2 linked regions of the Arabidopsis thaliana genome follow. The protein of the gene in region 2 interacts with the protein of the main gene of each other region in a pairwise test. Each region holds a gene or a part of one and is shown on either strand. Other genes may lie near its edges.

What was found.
Region 1: the proteins of AT1G19830 (region 2) and RTL1 interact in a two-hybrid assay, tested with the Arabidopsis thaliana proteins (one large-scale study listed by BioGRID).

The regions. Positions count from the first base shown.
Region 1 is NC_003070.9:30,312,545-30,316,658, forward strand, and holds RTL1 (RNAse THREE-like protein 1), read left to right. Parts: upstream 1-1,977; 5' UTR 1,978-2,064; coding exon 2,065-2,169; intron 2,170-2,353; coding exon 2,354-2,561; intron 2,562-2,689; coding exon 2,690-2,813; coding exon of another isoform or gene 2,814-2,817; exon of another isoform or gene 2,818-2,896; coding exon 2,897-3,056; 3' UTR 3,057-3,458; downstream 3,459-4,114. Other genes in the region: AT1G80640 (Protein kinase superfamily protein), read left to right, coding at 1-7, 88-329, 425-557, 635-698, 801-897, 1,002-1,083, 1,174-1,289, 1,369-1,458 and 1 more; HA9 (H[+]-ATPase 9), read right to left, coding at 3,683-3,779, 3,865-4,046.
Region 2 is NC_003070.9:6,850,060-6,853,612, forward strand, and holds AT1G19830 (SAUR-like auxin-responsive protein family), read left to right. Parts: upstream 1-2,056; 5' UTR 2,057-2,170; coding exon 2,171-2,524; 3' UTR 2,525-2,886; downstream 2,887-3,553. UniProt on the Arabidopsis thaliana protein: Provide a mechanistic link between auxin and plasma membrane H(+)-ATPases (PM H(+)-ATPases, e.g.

The sequences.
Region 1 (4,114 bases), about 23 Mb from region 2:
AAATCCGGTATTCAATTCTATCTCTTTATATTTTTGTAATTTCCTTGGTTTTGTTATGGCTTATTTTGGTGCTTTGGTTATCTGAAGATTCGGTGAAGAGTGTAACCACGAAACCGACTGTACACAAGATTGATTCTGTGAGGAAAGGAACCATCCCTGTGTATGAATATCAATTGCTGGAATCTGCAACAAACAAGTTTAGTGATAGTAATGTGTTGAGCCGAGGTGGTCGTGGATGCCTTTACAGAGCTTGTCTCGATGAAAAATCCTCAGTCACTGTGAAGAAACTTGATGGCGGTGGGGAGACAGACATTGAAAAACAGTTTGAGGTTTGACCCCTAAGATGATTATACAGAATCGCACCATCTCATTCGATAAACCATAACTCGGTTTTTTGCTTTCTCTTGTTGATTTTCTAATGCAGACTGAAGTAGATTGGTTGGCTAAGATCAGGCATCAGAACATAGTTTCCTTATTGGGGTTTTGCGTATATCGGCAAACGAGTTGTATTGTGTATGAGTTGATGCAGAATGGATCTTTGGAGAGTCAGTTACATGGTAAGGGGATATGATCCATGTTTGTTCCATCTTTTGTCATCTGATTTTGATTTTGTTGTGCTTTTGAATGCTCTAAGGGCCTAGTCAAGGTTCAGGTTTAACTTGGCAGCTCAGGATGAAGATAGCGGTTGATATAGCGAGGTAAAGTCCATTCATTGATAATACTTTCAAACATTTAGTAGTTCCATGTGATCTCCAAGAACATATATTTGTATGCTTACAAAGTATTCTTTTTTCATAAAGAGGATTAGAGTATCTTCACGAGCATTGCCATCCTCCTGTAGTTCACAGAGATTTGAAATCATCTAGCATCCTTCTGGACTCCGATTTCAATGCAAAGGTAAAAGAGAAAATGATATAATGTAGAAAATTCTTCTTAGACTTATTGTATTCTCCATACAATATGAGTCTTAAGGATCTGTTGCCACATTTGCTTCTCTTTAGATATCCGATTTTGGGTTTGCCACGGTTTTGACCACGCAGAATAAAAACCTGATACACAAGGCTTCTGAGGATCTTCTTGATGGTAAGGAGTTAATCTTTTTTCGGGGTTCGATCTTGACATATATGCCAAACGAGATGCTCAAATTTCGACCATTCTGTAATCATCTTTCAGGGAAAGTTACAGACAAGAATGATGTCTACTCATTTGGAGTGATCCTGCTCGAACTTCTCCTCGGGAAGAAATCAGTGGAGAAACCGTCTTCTGAACCAGAATCCATCGTTACTTGGGTACATAATAAAACTTTCACGAGATAGTGGCTTCGTTTAGCAGGAAATCCTCTGACTTGTGATCTTTGTTGATCATCAGGCAGTACCTAAGCTGAGTGATAGAGCTAATCTACCAAACATATTGGATCCTGCAATCAAAGGAACCATGGATTTGAAGCATCTATATCAGGTAAAAAAGCTTCAACAAAATCTCACACAGATTTTACGAAAAACACATTAGCCAAATATAGAAGGAAAAAGATTCCTCTTTGAACTTTGTGTTATATTTTCTTTGGACAGGTAGCTGCGGTGGCGGTGTTGTGTGTACAGCCGGAGCCAAGTTACAGACCACTTATAACCGATGTCTTGCACTCACTCATCCCTCTTCTACCAGTAGAACTCGGTGGATCATTGCGGATTTTATAAAAAAACATTTCCCCTTTCTTTTTTTTTTTCTTGTAACAGATCAATGCGTTTATGAATTTGTCTCTTATGTTGGTTCTTCCGGAGAATTTATTGTTGTATGTTTAATCACTGCTACAAAAAATTCGGAAGTTTTGCTTAAATGGAACCGAGAGACAAGTTAGTAGAGTTTGGTTAGTAAAAGTTAAAGGTTTAAAAGCTTTAACATATAAATAAATAAAAACGTTGACTTTTTATAACAGAGTTTGTTGTTGTGGGGAAATGAATTAATTAATGAACCTTATCCGTTTTGTCGATGATCGATAAAATTTTCAATTTCTCGATTCCCAAAGAAAGATATCTGGGAATTAGACAAGGAGTAGTAATATGAAAGATGGAGGATCAGGAAACGAAGCGGATAACCAAAAAACCGTCAAGATCGATCATCATCAGTCTCAAAGATATTCCTCCTCTCGACCCTTCTTCTATTCCCTCTATGGTAAATATTCATTCACTCCAACCATATTCTCTTCTTTCTCGCTAACAAAAAAATTGATCATCTGGGTTTGAAACAGAGAACAATCTCTGCGTTTTCTATTTGTAGATGATTCTTCTTCTGTGATTTGGCTATATCATGGGTTAATAGTAATAAATATCTCAACTTTGCTTCTGTCAATTGTTAGAAACCAATGGCGCAAGATCATCATAATGTGGGAATGCAGAGATTCCAAGAGAAGACTGACTTCAAGTTTGAAGAAGAAGACAATGCCATTTCTTCCTTCTCTAACATTCAAATTGATCCTAACAGCACAAGAAGCATTTCACTAGAGAAGAAGCTTGCTCCTAAACCAGATGAAGAACACACCACCACCACCAAACCCATATCTAAAGGTTCATTCATTTTTTCTTCACCTCTTTTGCTAATTATGATGTAAACTTGTTCGGAAACCAACAGAGATTGCAATTTTTGGTATAGAAGATAGAATTTTGGTCATTTTGTTCTGAAATTTGTGTTCCAGATGATGAATCTAAGACTAGGAGAGGCTCAGCTAAATCGGTGTTACACGAAATGTGTGCTTCCAAGCGTTGGAGACCTCCTGTTTATGAATGCTGCAATGTTGATGGACCTTGCCATTTGAGATTGTAAGTAAACATCTTCTAACCTGCACTTGCTTTTATTTTTTGAGTCGCAATCTTTTTTGCATCAACTTGGTTTTTTGGTTCAGATTTACATACAAAGTTATGGTTGAGATTAGAGATTCTTCAGGGAAAACTGTTTTGGAGTGTTTTGGGGATCCCAGACGCAAAAAGAAAGCTGCTGCTGAGCATGCAGCAGAAGGAGCGCTTTGGTATCTTGAGCATGTGAAGACAAAGCCGCATCAGTAAATCATCATTTAGTCGATATGAAGTAGCTGGAGAGTTTAGTAAAGCCATCTATAGTTAGTTCTAACGAGGGAAGCTTGAACCATATTATACCTATCTTTTAATTCATTATAGCTCTATGGGTTGTAACAGTTTTGATCTGTATCAGAACTTTTCTTTCAAACTTTGTGCCATTATATTTCTCCTTAGTAAGGAGCCTTTATCTTTATCTTTATGTTTATGGAATAGAAGAGCTCAAGTCATCCAAGTTAGAGAAAGCTTTGGAGACTTTGTCTGGTTAGACTGAAGGAGGGAATTCAGTTCAGTGAGATTTGAAACACTGATTTTTCTCATTTGCAACTAAGATTTGAGCATTCTTTTTTTTTTTGGTTTTGTTGCATTCTCTCTTGCGCGGACAGAGACTAGAAGAAACTTACTCAAGAATTCTAAGTAATTGTAAGATCTTATTACTCTTGTAAAAAAGGAAAAAACAAGAATATCTCAAAAATATAAAAAAAGAAGAAGCCACATCCACTGCTAACAAAAGAAACAATTTTCTTTTTGCAGCATTCTCTAATTATGGAAGTGGTTATTTATTCAATACTCTTGTGGGGTTCTAAAACTAAACTGAGAAACACTTGTTTCTGAAATCACAGGGTATAGTGTTGCTGGATAGCCTCAATGTCTAGTCCCTTCTGCTTCACTACTGATTCCACGTGACCTTTCAAGGTGTGACGTTCCCTTAACCTGAAATTTACAAGACAAGAAATGTTTGTAAGCCCATTTTCTGAGGAACCTAATGGTATGGAATAATCAGTTACTTGAGCGTTGCCTTGCAACTTCAGCTCGTCTCTTGGCTTGATCAGCTATCTCTGAAAGCTCTCTGTAAGTGCTCTTGTCATTGAACATATCTGAGGTTTGAGCTGGCTGCAATCCGTGAAGTGTACGTTGCGCTTGTGCCCATTGTGCTTCTCTCTCTCCCTTTCCGTAGTCTTTCTTTGACGTGAAAGCGGTCTGAACAGAGGAACAAAGGTTAGGAAAAAGGATTATACTACTGTGTTCTTGTTCTCATCAGTATTGGC
Region 2 (3,553 bases):
AATCAAACTGTGGAGTTGACTTACCACTATCATCTAATACATTTCCGTCCCCACGGCATCAGACCACGACGATCCTGAAGGTGAAGCTGTGGCGGCTCTCTTCCGTGATTTTGATCTTGCATTGCTTTCTTCTTCGTCTTTGTCGCTTACATTTCTGGATTGAAGGGTTTGGTTGACGTTAAGTAGCAGAACATGACGACTCAATCGAGCCCATTCACGGTCCTTTGAACGGAGCTCATTGACTATTTCCTCTGCCGTTGATCCCTTCTCAGATGACTGGAGAACTAGGTTTTGAAATCTCCGATTTGAAACGCCGCCGCTCCGACCTCTTTTCACCATCGTCGACTTTGGTATTTGTCAAATTATTTAGGTTAAATTTTCGTAGTTATATCTTGACAAGTTCACAATCCATCTTTTGCCGCGTAATTCATATTGGGCTACAATAAAGCCCAATAATAAAGTTTAGTCACAGCTCGTTTGCACAAACCAAAAGACATAGCGATGCGCCGTTGCAGACCAGCTAACATGACATTCATGTAATATATATGCACAATGTATAAAGTATTAAAGTATGAACCACTAAACACAACAATTAAACTCCTTTTCTTTAGCTAAATAAATTGATCATCTATAGTTTATTGGTCATCGTCTTTTGGTCTAAAGCAAAATTCATACGGCGACTATTAATTTTGAAAACAATTTTGGATTTTAACATGAATACCCCAATCAGCAAAACAATAAATAGAAAAATAGAATATGAATGGGATGGGTTTTAGGTCGTGCATGTGCATACATAATTGCAATGGCAGGAATATTAATTGAGGAAGCCTTAATTGGCTATGGTACTGTCCTTAGTCCTTCACGTTTGCATTATATTGTCCTTTTCACCAACGCATCGATAAGCTACCCTTTTTGGTTACTAATCATCGATAGATATAGTCTCAGGCTCTTAGCTTTTCGATGTTTAAACTGAAATTACAAACAAGTACGTCACGGCTAGCATTAGCGTTTGCATAATTAGTTACGTTCAAAACTGGAAAAAAAAAAAATAGTACATCACATTATATTCCTGTTTCTAGTTTTTTTTTTAAAACGCTAGTTTTGTTATTTTGAAATTGTAATGAAGTAAGGCATGCAAATACATTCCGACAATATATAATCAAGTATATTTAATTAGAGTTTTTTGTGTGGCCCGAAAGGTAGTTAGAAAAGTTTACAACTTTGAATCCATGTTGAAAGTTAGATACAGCCTCTATTGCGACTAATGTGTGCCATTAATTTGCATTCATCGGAGTTTTATAACATTTTATATTTGCCATCTTTTTCAAGCTAAACCTGATGAACCAAGAGTTGTTGTTTTTTTATAAAGACCTAGAGTCGTTTCTCTACAACATTTTCTCTAATCTTCAACCAAAATAATATTTGACTTGGACAATAGATGTTATCAAACAAAACAAAAAACCTCGACAAATAATTTGTATTGTATATCTACATAATTTAAACATATATACAACTTATTGACAAAATTTGTTTTAACAAGGTACAACAAATATTTATTCTGTAGCAGACACATTCTTCATATATCGAGACAAACACATCTTACTTTACCCCACGCCTCAAAATCACCTCTTCCTGTATACATTGCATAGATGTACAATAGTATTTGTAAAAGGATATATGTACACTAGCTAAAAATAGTTGTATATACATTTTATATATTGATGTTACAAGAACCAGCCCTAAGATGGAGAATTTAGTGGCTCCAACCACGCATACAAATAAAAATGGTCTAACAATTTTGGATTATTAACGAACAAAATTCTGATTTCAGGTTTAAAACCTCCACCTAATTGGTCTTATATAGACTCTTATGTAATAAACAACACCAAAATAAACTATTTTTTCTTCCAAACCTTAAACAAAAAAACATTGACCCGGTCCAAAACTAGGATCTGTCTAGTGAATCTTAGACGGTTAGACCCATCACAAGACTCTAATATTATAAAGTAGTATATAAATTTATTTATAAAACTCTATATATTTAGTGTAACCATCCATAAATACCCCAAAACCATAACTCAGCATACCCTTCTTCACTATCTCCTCACTCCTCTAGCAAACCACAACAAAAACATAGAAGATAACAAAGAAAACCCCATTTCCCAAGGGAATGGCGATTATAAACCGGAGCAAGCTGACACAAACGACTATGATAAAGCAAATCTTGAAGAGGTGTTCAAGTTTGGGAAAGAAACAGAGCAGTGAGTATAACGATACACATGAACATGATGGAGACTCTCTTCCTCTGGATGTTCCCAAAGGTCACTTCGTGGTCTACGTAGGAGGGAATCGGGTCAGGTACGTCTTACCCATTTCGTTTTTGACCCGACCCGAGTTTCAGCTTCTTCTACAACAAGCTGAGGAAGAGTTTGGCTTCGATCACAACATGGGTCTCACTATCCCTTGTGAGGAAGTAGCTTTCAAATCTCTCATCACCTCTATGCTTCAGCCAACATATATTTAGTGTTTTATTCTTGAGGATAAAGATCTGTTTTAGGTAGCCTTTAAAATTTTAGGTGATTTTGGGGTACAATGGGGGTAAGTGTTTCTATTAGAACGAGACTAACTCTAGAGATGCCTCTAAGAGTGATCTATAAAACCAGTTTGGTTATATTAATTATCTTAGATTTGTAGGGAGGAAAATAAGCAAATACTCTGATAATTTTTCTCGTTGTGGTGGTGTGATTATCTGTACAACCCATTGAGGGACTATTATATAATATCAGTGATGAATGCTATTTTTCTTCTTATAATTTGGTTTTGTCCATTTTCTATCATATATATTCTTGCATATATGATATACTCCATTCAAGGAGTTTAATATAATGTAAATCTGTACATAGTTTAACCAAGTTAAAAGCATGTATAATTTGATCCAAAAAAACTATATTTGTTTCCATTTGAAGAAATGGAAACTCATTTCATTCACACGAGTGGAATTCGCGTTGCATATAGTATGATATCGATTTAGTTTGCTCGCAAAACTTGTTTTACTTTTTGAAGTTTTTAAAAAAGTACGTTACTGTGCGACATCGTCCAAACAAGGAATCCCAAGGCGAAGGATGCCTTCTTTTGGAATCGGCAGTTTTTTAGCCGTTAAAAGTTAAAACTGTTGAACTAATAAATAAATAGTTAAGAAAGCATCGAAATGCTGATTCCAGGATAATGACAAAAAAAATTGACACTATGCATAAACACACACATGCAGAAGCAGGAAAATATAATTTTATTATTCACAATTCTCATGCCCGTTTTCTGGCCTTTCCCTTTATTCACTACAGAAATGCGCTTAGTTGGTAAAAAGAAGACATCTCTGCCATGAAAATAATGTATTTGGCATTGGTAGTAACGTCTGGAATAAAAGTTCTAAAACGATTCCACGAGTTGCTCCAATTTCACCACTTACCAGGGAATAACCAAATCATGATAATTCTATAACAATTTCTACAGAACAATTCTTCGATCTTATGTAACATGTCATCTAAATATCAAT